Linked DNA regions of Mytilus edulis. The protein of the gene in region 1 purifies or fractionates together with the protein of each later gene. This does not show direct contact. Links are inferred from orthologs where the notes say so. Each region holds a gene or a part of one and is shown in the gene's direction. Other genes may lie near its edges.

Region 1 (7,052 bases):
CATGTATTTGGTTTTGATGTTATATATATATGTTATATTTGTTATTCTCGTGGGATTTTGTCTATATGTGTTACATTTTAGTGTTATGTCGTTGTTCTCCTTTTATATTTAATGCGTTTCCCTCGGTTTTAGTTTGTTATCCCGATTTTGTTTTTTGTCCATGGATTTATGAGTTTTGAACAGCGGTATACTACTGTTGCCTTTATTTGGTAAACAGGAAGTTGTTGAGTGATGAATCTGAAAACACATCACATGGTATAGCTGACTTAAATAAACCCTGAAACCAAATTTCAGAAACCATGGTATTGTAGTTCCTGATAAAGATGCCACGAAAAATATTCATGGGACATACGGACAGACAGAGGTAAAACAGTATACCCTGACTTTTTCAAAGTGGGGTACAATAATTAAAGCAGGGGTTGATAAATATATAGTATAGAGTAGACAAGATGTCTTGAAAATGAAGCTGATTCTTCTCTCATCAAAATTTGTCATCTTAAACATTTTCTTACCTTAAAATTTCTTTGACAATTCAATTTTGTCTAACTATTTTGGCAAAAATTCAATTCATATCTTTTCAAATGGACTAGTACAGGCCGTTTAACTTACACGATTCATTGCTTCAGAGCTAATTGTATAAAATTTCGAAGTACAAGTGGAAATAAGAGCTTTATTGTTAATTTTGCAGTAAAATAAGGGGAGGTAATGCAAAACTTCTCAGTTTTTAAGAAAGTTTGATTTGGTCAGGTGCATTTTGGATTTTTGATAATGGCAATGAAACTGTTCATCAAAAGTGTCCATTTAAATAAAACCAAAACAATTAAATTGTAAGGGAATCATGACGGACATATTATTGTATTAAAAGTCACACGTTTAACCAACTGAATTAACATGCAAGCCCATAGTACAATCTTATAACTTTTTGGTCTTTTCTTTTGTATGAAGCTTAACAAAACTGAAATTTGAATTAATGGCATCCCAATAAATGTTAGTTCAAGACAAGATTTTTATCTACAAATAAGTCAACATGGTACATTGAAATCTCTGTGAATATTAACATTATTGTAATACCATATGTTTTAAACCTTCTAAGTGCAATAAGTGAATGTCAGAAACATTCCCCCTTCCCCACCAATTTAACTATTAAATTTTATTTATGCAAAAATGGAATTTTAGTGTGTACACTCTTTTAACTATTAACAATAGATTAATCTTTTTTACCTACCTGCATATTTCTGGTGGAAAAGTCTTGAGTTGATTATTATTTATATTCAAGAATGTCAAGTTTCTCAGATGTGCTGAAAATAAACTAACAATCAATATCAAAAATATATACATTAACTGAATAAATTATACACAACATGTACCATAAGCTACTTCACGTAATATACACATATATATGTAAAAATGCTAACATGAGTAACAAAGTATCGAAAGTTAATAGAAGAAATTTATTGCATAATTTTCGAAACTGTTCAGACAAATTCTGTACAATCTAATGCAGGTTTAACACATTAAAAAAACATTACAATATAATAAGTTAAACAATCATGTAAACACTAGAACTAACTCTTTTGCTGCAATATTCTGTAAAAATGCATTTGCAACAATCTTACCCTTATTTACTAAACATGTACAGTGGCACTCTTCAACAACAGTATTGTTAAGACTTACATTACATATCAATTATATCATATAAAACTTGATAATCAGTAAATAACACTTTAAAAAGATGAACAATACATACTTAGGACTTTGGGGTTCAGATTCTTTAGGTTATTGTTAAACAGATGTAATTTCTCCAACATAGTGAGATACTCCAAAACTTCTGGTAAGTCTTCAAGTTCATTGTTTCCACAGTTCAGTATCTGTAACTATAAAACAAAAAGATATTTTGTTATTACATGTGGCCTTATTAAAATAAGAAAGAACAGGTCTTGTCACAATACATATGCTATATGATGTTACAGATTGGTTAATGTCTACTGAACTTTGGTCAGCCTGTATAGCTTATTCATTAAAAACAGCTCAAGATGTGTCTTTGTAAAACCTCGGTTCCCTATCATATTATAATATTCTAATTAAGGAAAGGGAATTATCTGATGCATTGTATTGGTACATAGATGGTACATTTGTATTACAAATTAGTATCTGATACCTAAAACATAATACAAAAGATAAACTGTAAGGCCATAACATACAAATGTACCTGTTTCAGGGGAGATAAATAGCATCTTAATTTTCCACTTTTACATTTTGAGTGTTACCTATTTTTTTGACTTATAGAATAAATTTTTTTTTACTTAGTCATAAAAATTGAATTTAATCAGATTCAAATTAAAGGTCCAAGTTGTCATTTTCATAAAATCTTGTCAAAAAAGGAGTAAATACTCTCCCGTTATTCTTTGAATTACTGGGAGTAAACTAGTCTGCCATTCCATCTTAATCTCAGCACAGAAAGGAACAGGTTGGGGTCATTGTCACATTGACAATAACTCCAACCCCGTTTATTAATTTGATGAATCTTACAAACATATTACAAATACTACAATTCACCATGAAATTGACCAATTATATTAATAGGAACTTGACCTCAAATGTTAATACTGCGATGCCACACAATAAATAAGTAGCTGTTAATTAACACTATGGTGGCTGAACAGATAAATGCTGCACGAGTGCACATGTGTTATCATATTCTGAATCCGGGTCCGTTCGCGCCCATTCACGTTCGCACCCACTCATGTTCGCCCCCTTTCACTTTCGCACCCTACATGTTTCCACCCAAAAACCGTTCGCACCCTACATGTTCACGCCCAATTTTAATTGGTTTTGTGTTTAATAACTTTGTAATCAAGTTTTGGCAAGTATTATTCTTATAAGTATAATTGTTTTCATTGTCTCAGAATAAAGTGAGACAGCATTTTTCTTTTGTGTTGAAATGTTTTGGATAGTGTATTGTTAAAAAAAAAATATTCCTTTCTATATAAAGTGGGATTCTGTCAACGTTTTATTTTGTGTTGAATAACTCTTAATCATGTTTTGGTTTATGTATTGCTATAACTTTATTCAATGACTTGTTTCAAAATGAAGTGAGATTCTGACTACGTTTTTATTTTTTGTGTGTTGAATAAATTTTATCATGTTTTGGTTATAATAGTGTATTGCTATATTTTATTGTTTCATTGTTTCAGATCAAAGGGACCAAGCTGTTAAAAACAATTATCTTTTGTGTTTTTCATTTAAAATCTTCAAATGTTTACTCATACCAAGCTATAAATACATTCAGTATTTACACGAAAGCAATTAAAAACAACAATCATGATTTTCCAATTATTCAACTGGAATTTGAATTAAAATTGGGCGCGAACGTGTAGAGTGCGAACGTGTAGGGTGCGAAAGTATATTGGGCGCGAACGGACCTGATACCTCATATTCTCGACAAACTGAGCCGGTATTTTTCATTTACATTAATACTCAGTATGGATATGCTAATTTCTTTTCTGAGTTGTTACACCTGAATAAGAAACATTAACTCTGATAACAAATTTGTTTACAGAATTTAAAATTATATTTTATGGGAAATATCAACCTGAAACAAATGGCTAAGTTCTATAGGTAAATCCTTCAATTTATTCCCTCTCAACTGCAAGTGTACAACACAGTCTAATTTTCCAATGGCCCTTGGAACCTTGTCAAGTTTCTTATTACACAAATTCAACGTTTTTGGTTTCCCTTTCAATGCACGGACTAGCAAGGTGTCCGCCATATTGACGCTTTCTTGTTGCTAACTTTTAAGGTGTGTTCGAAAAACATCTATTTGTAAATATAAAATAAATGTTTCTTTATTCCATTTTTAAGATATTGAAAGACTATGTAGGTATATGCTTTAAAATATTCTGATATGAATACTCTCAATAATTCTACGATAAAGGAAAAAAATAATAAACATTGAATATTTATGATATTTACAGAAATTTTTTCGATCGCACCTTATCATTTTCGTGGTTTCTTAAATTGGAGAGTGTTTCCGGTTAAAGTTTCAAAACGTTTTTTGCATGATTTACTATTTATGTTTCAAAGTTGGTGTTGTTAGATAAAACCTGCTAAATATGCCTATGAGATATATTTCCAATTAATACTTCCCCAGTGTAATAAGGATAAACACGTGTCAAGTCATAAAACATCTAAAATATTTAGCAAAACCACATCATGGGACATGATCTGATGATGTTTGATTTGTACAAGTAATTGTAAATCATGCCTCTTACTTCTACAGTGCAGGTGTAAAAAAACTTAATTTCACAATGACAAGTTTCGTAGATCCAGATGACGATCCTGAATTACACAGATTGGAGGGTTCATTGGGCAAAGAAAAGGGTGGACTTGTTATAATGAAAAAGAAATCAGAACATGGAGACTTTCAATTCAAGAAACCATCACTTCCCAAGGTATCGCTATTGGGACTTGATAAATTGGCAGCAGAAAAAAGGAAATTAGATATCAAAAGTGAAAATACAACAAAAAGATCAAAGGTGACATCATATACAGACAGCAAAGATGAAAGTGATAGTAGTGACTCAAGTAGTGATGAAGAAGATAATAAATTGTCAAAGCATAAAAGTCGTAAAGAAAGGTGGGTTTAATTTACACACATCAAAATCGAATAAGATAATAGAGGATGATAGTATAAGGCAGGGTAATCTCATAAAGGAGACAGGGTCACTCAGTCACCATCAGCTAATCCTTTAGCAAGATTTCTTTACGACTTTTATATTTATCCTGTATCATCATATTCATGCATATAAACATTGGATTGTAAACAAAGAAATGCAATCTTCAGGCAGTGTTTAAGTGTAGTTAAATTTAAGATAATAAATTGTCAAAGCATAAAAGTTGTAAAGAAAGGTGGGTTTAATTTACACACATTAAAATCGGATAAGATAATAGAGGATGATAGTATAAGGCAGGGTAATCTCATAAAGGAGACAGGGTCACTCAGTCACCATCAGCTAATCCTTTAGCAAGATTTCTTTACAACTTTTATATTTATCCTGTATCATCATATTTAAAACATGCTTATATATCATGTATATGCATAAAACAAGTTATCTATTCTTTATTATTTTGATAGTTTGAAATTGTATTTTTTAAAGGCAGGGAAATGCACACTTTTCTGATAGTTTTCAAAGTTTTCCTTTAGTTATTCTGGTTGTGTATATTAACCCTAAATTCTTTGCCCAAATATTGATAACCAAGACGTGAAATAAAGTCTGAAGAATTTTTGAATTTGTAAGAATAAAACTATCTATATAGCTAGCACTCACATATTTAAAAAAATACAAATTGTCATGATTGTTATTTATAGTTCAGGTCTTGACAATAACGCTTGCCCTATTGTCTGTTACCAGAGTAAAAAAAGGTCGGTCAAGTTAAAGCTATATCAACCTTGTCGACAAGTAAAATTATTTTGCAGAAAAAATCAATTTAATCAAACTTTGATGAACAAAGTAGTTGTAAACAAAAAACAAAAAAAAAAGAAGATAAAAACAAGTACATGTATTAATTTGACATGTTTACTTGCAATCGACAATAAAAACTGGTTCTTTGTCAGGTACTATTTGACAGGTAAAAGGCATACTATTCTGATCCAATGGACCAAATCAGTATGCGCTTTGTAGATGAGGTAACTTTACAAGACAGTTCGTCACCAGCTTGGAATTAAGACATTCAGCCCCAATTTTAATAGACAGTTTGGCACTGTATGAGACATGATTAATAGACAGTTCGGGACCAAGACCTTGTTTCCCTACAATTTTCTGTTGCATTATAATAATTACCATACCAGTAATTTTTTTAACAAAATTATTTTAAAAGTAGAAATGAATTTATTGACCATAAGATTTACAAAATCATATTTGACCATATGTAGAAAAAACAATACTTGGTGACCTACAGTTGTTAATTTCTGTGTCATTTGGTCTCTTGCAGAGAGTTGTCTGATTAGCAATCATACCTTATCTTTTTTTTTAGCTAACCTGGCGTTCGTCAACCGTAGTCGACGTCGTCCGTCGTCGTTAACTTTTACAAAAATCTTCTCCTCTGAAACTACTGGGCAAATTTAACCAAACTTGGCCACAATCATCATTGGGGTATCTAGTTTAAAAATTGTGTCCCGTGACCCGGCCAACCAACCAAGATGGCCCCCATGTCTAAAAATAGAACATAGGGGTAAAATGTAGATTTTGGCTTATAACTCTGAAACCAAAGCATTTAGAGCAAATCTGACATGGGGGTTAAATTGTTTATCAAGTGAAGATCTATCTGCTCTGAAATTTTCAGATGAATCAGACAACCGGTTGTTGGGTTGCTGCCCCCCAATTGGTAATTTTCAAAGAAATTTTGCCGTTTTTGGTTATTATCTTGAATACTATTATAGATAGAGATAAACTGTAAACAGCATTAATGTTCAGCAAAGTACGATCTACAAATAAGTCAACATGACCAAAATGGTCAGTTGACCCCTTAAGGAGTTATTGCCCTTTATAGTCATTTTTTTACCAATTTTTCATAAATTTTTGTATCTTTTACAAAAATCTTCTCCTCTGAAACTACAGGGCCAAATTTAACCAAACTTGGCCACAATCATCATTGGGGTATTTAGTTTAAAAAATGTGTGCGGTGACCTAGCCAACCAACCAAGATGGCCACCATGGCTAAAAATAGAACATAGGGGTAAAATGTAGATTTTGGCTTATAACTCTGAAACAAAAGCATTTAGAGCAAATCTGACAGGGTTAAATTGTTTATTAAGTCAATATCTATCTGCCCTGAAATTCTCAGATGAATCAGACAACCGGTTGTTGGGTTGCTGCCCCCCAATTGGTAATTTTCAAAGAAATTTTGCCGTTTTTGGTTATTATCTTGAATACTATTATAGATAGAGATAAACTGTAAACAGCATTAATGTTCAGCAAAGTACGATCTACAAATAAGTCAAACATGACCAAAATGGTCAGTTGACCCCTTAAGGAGTTATTGCCCTTTATAGT
Region 2 (6,957 bases), about 40 Mb from region 1:
ATGACATATAACATGTGATTTGCAGAACAGGATGCAACCCTCTGGCGCACTGTGAAAAGTCGTAAGGTTGTAAGTCACTGGCGTAGATGGAATAAGCTCGTAAACTTGGCCTGCTGCAATTCAAATCTTGTTTATGGTATTTTATTGCTATAATTTCATGTCATTTGATAGGGTACATCTTAAATATGAATTATCACCATATATGTTAATTGTATGTTTAAAATACATTATTTTCCTTCTTCAAATTCGTTATATTTTACTTTGAAGTTTTTCAATTGTTAAAGTTTATGTTAAAACTTGTGTTTAGGAGGCTAATATAATCTCCAAGAGAGTTGTTAAATTCATCGTAACAATTCTGTCAACAACAGCGTTACCCTAACAACACTTGTAAACAACTGGACACTGGATGATAACTTGGTTCTTCTTTGAAGAATTTGATGATGTTCCCATCGACTTTTTATATAATATGGTTACTAGCAAGAGCAGGATTGTTTTTTGTTGTTTATATGGTAAACGTTACTAGCAAGAAAATTCTGTTTTTCAGACCGCCTTGGTGGATGCATTTTTTGGCCTTTTATAGCAGACTATACAGTATATGCTTTGCTCATTGTTGAGGGCCGTACTGTGAACTATAGTTTACTGTGTCATTTTGGTCTCTTGTGGAGAGTTGTCTCATTGGCAATCATACCACATCTACTCTTTTTTAGATATATATATATTTGGTTATTAACAAGAACAGAATTGGGTTTTGTCAGACCGCATCGGTGGTGTATATATGGTTACAAGCAAGAACAGGATTTTTTCAGACCGCCTTGGTGGTTAATATATGGTTACTAGCAAGAACAGTTTTTTTTCATATCGCTCGCTGTGTGATCGACTCAAGTGCTGGATAATATGGGTTCAAACCTCGGCCTGGTCAAATATGGGGACAGTATACAGAAACTAACGACTTGAAATTGGTATGTGCTGCTTCTCGGCCAAACATGGCAAGAAGTGGTTGGGGCAAATAAAATTGAGAAAGGAAATGGGGAATGTGTCAAAGCGACAACATCCCGGCCATAGAGCAGACAACAGCCGAAGGCCACCAATGGGTCTTCAATGTAGCCAGAAACTCCCGCACCCGGTGGCGTCCTTACGTGTCAATGTTTTTGAAGTATAATGACATATATATTCAGCTGTTATGACACCTTCGGTTTCTTGTACCAGAGTATTATTCTTTAAAAAAGTGTTTCTCAAAAACATTTCTCATCACACAAATATTTATACAGGTAGATGTTGACTGGCTGTACAGCCCTTGCCGTTACGGTCGGCTGGTGATTGAGGACGTCTTCCTTTCTTTTAGATTTTTAAGTGACAGATAACAATTGGTCTAGATATTTCATTAAATGTGTAAATTTTGAGAGTAGTATTAAATTCACGTGTAAATTCATGTAGTGTAGCGAGAAAAAAGTCTGGTCACCAAACTTTTTATTACATTTTGGATAAGAAGCATGATTAAAACTTTATCCCCCCCCCCCCCCCCCCAATTCACCTTTAAAAGAAGAAATCGAATACTCTGCAAAAAATGAAAAACAATATCATATGATAATTTTGTAAAAAAAAAAAAGGCACAAATTCATAAATGTGACTGATGTTTTATTACCATGCATACATATCGAACAGTTTAGAAAAAACAACAATATTGGTCAGCAAACGATACAACAGAAATAGAAAGGACGGAAAAATAATAAATAAAACAAGAATGTGTCCTCAGTACACGAATGCCCCACTCGCACTATCATTTTCTATGTTCAGTGGACCGTGAAATTGGGGTAAAATCTCTAATTTGGCATTAAAATTAGAATGATCATATCATAGGGAACATGTGTACCAAGTTTGAAGTCGATTGGACTTCAACTTCATCAAAAACTACCTCGACCAAAAACTTTAACCTGAAGCGGGACAGACGGACGAACGAACGAACGGACGGACGAACGAACGAACGAACGAACGAACGAACGAACGAACGGACGGACGAACGGACGGACGGACGGACGAACGGACGCACAGACCAGAAAACATAATGCCCCTCTACTATCGTAGGTGGGGCATAAAAAGCGAAGGAATAGTTTGTAGTGAACATGGGATGTTAATGTAGGTAGATGTGGTTGACTGGAGAAAAAAATAATGGTTTATGTACAGCCAAAATACATGTTTTTCTATTTTTGGAAAAGAGAGACGAAAGATATTAAAGGGATATTCCAACAAAAACAGACATTACATTTTTGGTATAATTGTGTTTTCGTAATTCGTTCTTTCAGAAAAACAGAATCACCTAACAAAACACACGATTTACAACATGGGACTGGTGTTGCAAAGAATACAGGTTTAATTAAGCATATAGTATGCGATTGGAAATTTATGTGTTTTTCCTTTTTGAAAAATATAATAAATGAAGAAGATTTGTTGTTTCCGTAATTCCGTAATTCAGTATAAAATACATGTATATACAAAACATAATCATTGGATGGACAAGTGTCTCATTGGCATCCATACCACATCTTTTTATATCTGTCGTTGTTCCTTTTTCCTTCTTTTTTGCTGTACATGTTAAAACTTTATTCAAAAAGAGGGACAGTCAAACTCATAAATCGGAAATAAACCGACAACGCCATGGCTAAAAATGAAGAAAAAGACAAACAGACAAACAATAGTACATATGACACAAGATATGAAACTAAAGAATAAGCAACACGAATCCAACCAAAAACTGGAAATGATCTAATGTGCTCCAGGAGGGTAAGCAGATCCTGCTCCACATGTGGCACCCGTCTTGTTGCTCATGTTATAACCGTGAAATCCGGCAAATAGTCTAATTCGGTAGGTCACTTGATATCACATATTCTGATTATTACAACGATGTTGTTTATATGTAGTGTGTAGAGCCCGTAAAATTAGACACGATCCATGTTTTACTTTTTGATATTTCGAATTCGCCGCGTTTTAAATATTGTGGTAAAATCTTTCGATGAAACATTGACGTTTTTTTTTAATTATCAGAAAATAACTAAATAGAATGTATTGTTATAACATTTTACATTTGTGTCTGTTCCTCTGCAGTTGTTGTTGGTTGCTGTCTGTCATATTAATAGTCTTTCGTTTATTATTTCAGCATAAATCAGGCCTTGTGCTTCGAAGGATCAATAATGATGAACAAGAACTCATTCTGAACTCGAACTTATACTGTGCCTAATATTTCCGTTGACTGCTTACGCAAAAAGATGAAGACAGAAGAGTGGGATCTACGGCTGTCAAAGGAGGTCTTTACTTTACTCAATTTTGCCTACATGCGTACGGAAAAAGATGTAAAATTCAGTGAAACTCTGAATCAATTTTAAATATGTCTTGAGTATAAAAAAAGGCAAGTAAAAACCAACACTCGCAAAAGGAGGTAGAACCTCCAGGGATATATCCGATGGAGTTATCAAAGAGTTTCCGTTTTTGGAGGAGTTGTGCAATCCAATGAGTATTTATTGAAAATTTGGCTAGAGCAAAAATGCCACACTGTTTAATACGGTATAGAAATTTCGATGAGATCTGCACAGGCACTCGTGTTAGAAAAAAATATTCCTATATGTGTTATATAAAGGTATATACTAAGATTTTTTTCTAAGACGAGTTCCTGTTTCTGGCTGCACTGAATACTAGCAAGGAATTGTATATTTAATATACAATTCCTTGATACTAGTCTTTCCAAATAAATCGACATCTTGATATTGACACTACTGCAATATTATGTTCATTTTTACCATTTTCTTCGTGATATTGTTATAACAATTTTTTACCGACGCATAGCAAATTAAAACAGTTAGAAATTAAAAAAAACATGCAGTAGTCGGGATCATGTAATGGGTTTTAGGTACAAACTGGTTTCCCAAAAATGTTATCTATCTATTATGGGTATAAAAAAGGCGAAATTCAATACCAGATAAGCCATGGCAGAAAAGTTTGATTTGCAAATAAAACGGGAACTCTTAGACTCGTCATTTGACGGATACAAACTGTCGTTAGACAGTCTGCCCACATACAGCCTTCAATTTGGAATTGGTAAATTGCTTGATGATTTTTTTGTATAGTACATTTTGATCGGTGAAGTGTACTTTGTAGCCCTGCTCATGCTGAGCAAGCTTATATACGACGTACGTCACGTAGCCTCTTTGAAAAGCGCCACAGCAAAATTAGAAATACCATTTTAAGCCGCCAAGGATTTGTATACTACTATACTAATCCCAACCCAGTAGAAAAGGGGGTAGGTGAGTTCGAATCTGGGTTCGTTCGCCCTGAAACATCCCAGTCCCAGAAAAAAAATAAATCAGCGCTAGCCTTGACAGACGTCATAATTATTTTGACTACTGTTCGCCCTTATACCTGTTCGCCCAGGGTCCATTCGCCTTGATTTTTATTTTTTTCTAATTAAGGTTCATCATAACAAACGGACAAATATGGCTGTATTTACATGCCAAAAATTACTCTGAGTACAGACCTACCTGTGAAGTTGGAAAAGTTTTAATGCCTGGCACCCACTAGATATATAAAAGTTAAATGCATTTTGTGTTAAAGAAAGATAAAATCTTTTTTGGTTTTTGATGGGCATTTTTTTTTCCTTCATGCAAAAGTCATATAATTTTAAGTATTTTGAACAAAATATGTTGAAGTTTGTTGAAAAATTGAGAGAATATTTATATTGCCGTAATCAATTTGTCTCATTTACAAATCAACTTAGTTACAAATTGATCAAGTATGAAACGACATGCATTCCTGTAAAATTTGACATGACAATTTATTTTTTAACCCTCTTGTTGCCAGCTGTTTTTCAGGGTTTCATTTCATATTTGACGGAAAATACGACCGCTCGACGTTTGTGACGTGACATGCCAAACAATGACGTCATTCTGTATATGACATCATGCTGTAATGACAGTTACATTTTAGAGCCATTGTAGAATCATATTACACTTTTTAATTTTGGTTTTTTTATTTTGAAAGAGGTACAGCAATGATGAGAAGCTTGCATAAATTAAAACATGGACACATGTGTCCCTCCAGCACAGTTGGTGTGGACACATGTGTCACTCCGGCACCAAGAGGGTTAAGAAACTGAAAGATTGACATCATAATGAAAATGGAATTGTTGCTTGACGTCAGCATACATAAACAAGTTCAATCTGAAAATACTACTAAAGGAAGAGACTGTTTTCATTGAGCCATAACTTCTCTGAAACCATACAAAGTGATAAGACGTATAAATGAATTGTTTTGTACTTTCCAAATTATGCTCTTTGACACAATCTTTTTTCCACAGAACACTCCAATTTTTATCCAAATTCAAAGACCGTTATTGATTCTTGACTGAACTTTTTCCCACATGCTCAGTCAACATACTGCTGTGAAAACTATTTTTAACACTTGTTCATTTGTACCATGATTTCGTGGGCATCTGCTAGTAAAAATTAACTGTAAGAATAAAAAGACTTGTCTTTTTTTGTTTCATCCAGTTCTCTGTAAAATAAGATTTATTGCATTCTTCAACTAAATTCTGAGTGATATAAATAAAAGAATTAGAGTAATGATTATTTGTAACAATTCTTCCAGGTATAGAGAAGGTGGACCTTACAGACGGTCAGTATTCCTACCATCATGCTAAGATCCTTGGACAACACAATCATTTAGCTTTAGATCCTTGGAATCAGCAGACAGTATATTATATAGATCAGCTATGGCGCATCAACAAAGCCTTCATTGCAGTAAGTAAATGGTTACATTTGTTTTAACTTTTTTATTACAAATTATTTTAATTAGAAGTCTGAGGGTAATGTTTAGGAGTTTATAAGAACATGTGAGACTTTGATCTGGCTCAAAGGGACCATGAAAGTATAAAGAAAGTGTGCTTTCTTGAAATCATAATAACTTATCTAACATTTTTGTCAATTCTTCAAAAATAACAATTATAATCATGATGATAGATACACACAATAATTTTCGATTTAAATATATACATATGTAATCAGGGGTTCAAATTAGTGTTGGTCGAATGTTGGAGACCTGTCTTTTCTAGAAGGGGACTTTTCATTTTTGAATAACAAGTCAAGGACCTACAATTCTTTACTCTGATATACAGGAACACTGAATTTCTTATGGAGGACCTTTCAAATGGTCCTGGACCTTTCACTATTTAATGCAAATTTGAACCTCTTATAGTATGGACATAAACATGATGAAGGGAACTGATGAAGCCCCTCTCAGAATCAATCAGGAAAAAAGAATGTTTTAATGTAACCAAGCCAATATTGAAAAGTTTATGCACTTATTCAGTATTCTGTCAAATGAATAATTGTAAATGTGACCATATAGTGATATAATCTTCTTGCAGTTATGTTACATAAAGTAATCAGCAAACAATCTATCAATAAAGAATAACTCATTATACATGTATCTTCTTCATACTTATTATTAATGTGGTACATGAAGGTGTTATTAATTTGCTAGGAAGGTTTATGGTAATTTAAATTAACCCTGATACATAGATATAAGATGTGGTATGAGTGCCAATGAGACAACTCTCCATCCAGGCATCCAAGTCACAATTTGTAAAAGTTAACCATTATGATTATAGGTCGAAGCAAGCTATAAAGGGCCCAAAAATGAGTAGCGTAAAATCGTTCAAGTGGGAAAACCAACAGTCTAATCTATATAAAAACAAGAAACAAAAAGCACTTTATATGAACCATATCAACAAACGACAGTCATTGAACATCAGGTTCTGACTACTAACAGGTGCAAACAAATGCTATGGGTTTAAACATTTCAGTAAGTAACAACCTTCATGATTGAATATAACATTATGTTTATAGTAAAAGCTTCATTGTAATGGTAATATATACAACTGAATTAAAATTTGATAATTGTTCCAATTCAATT

What was found. The genes of interacting proteins can lie anywhere in the genome.
Region 2: the proteins of pre-mRNA-splicing factor ATP-dependent RNA helicase PRP16-like (region 1) and nudC domain-containing protein 1-like purify together in Homo sapiens (co-immunoprecipitation; 3 studies listed by BioGRID and IntAct, with this or other methods). This does not show direct contact. The link is inferred for Mytilus edulis from reciprocal best matches to the Homo sapiens genes DHX38 and NUDCD1.

Annotation. Positions count from the first base shown.
Region 1 is NC_092348.1:89,210,459-89,217,510, forward strand, and holds the start of pre-mRNA-splicing factor ATP-dependent RNA helicase PRP16-like, read left to right. Parts: upstream 1-4,017; 5' UTR 4,018-4,307; coding exon 4,308-4,636; intron 4,637-7,052. Other genes in the region: leucine-rich repeat-containing protein 69-like, read right to left, coding at 1,226-1,298, 1,748-1,874, 3,593-3,769. UniProt on the Homo sapiens protein: Probable ATP-binding RNA helicase. Involved in pre-mRNA splicing as component of the spliceosome.
Region 2 is NC_092348.1:48,749,457-48,756,413, forward strand, and holds the start of nudC domain-containing protein 1-like, read left to right. Parts: upstream 1-3,896; 5' UTR 3,897-3,974; coding exon 3,975-4,086; intron 4,087-5,631; coding exon 5,632-5,783; intron 5,784-6,957.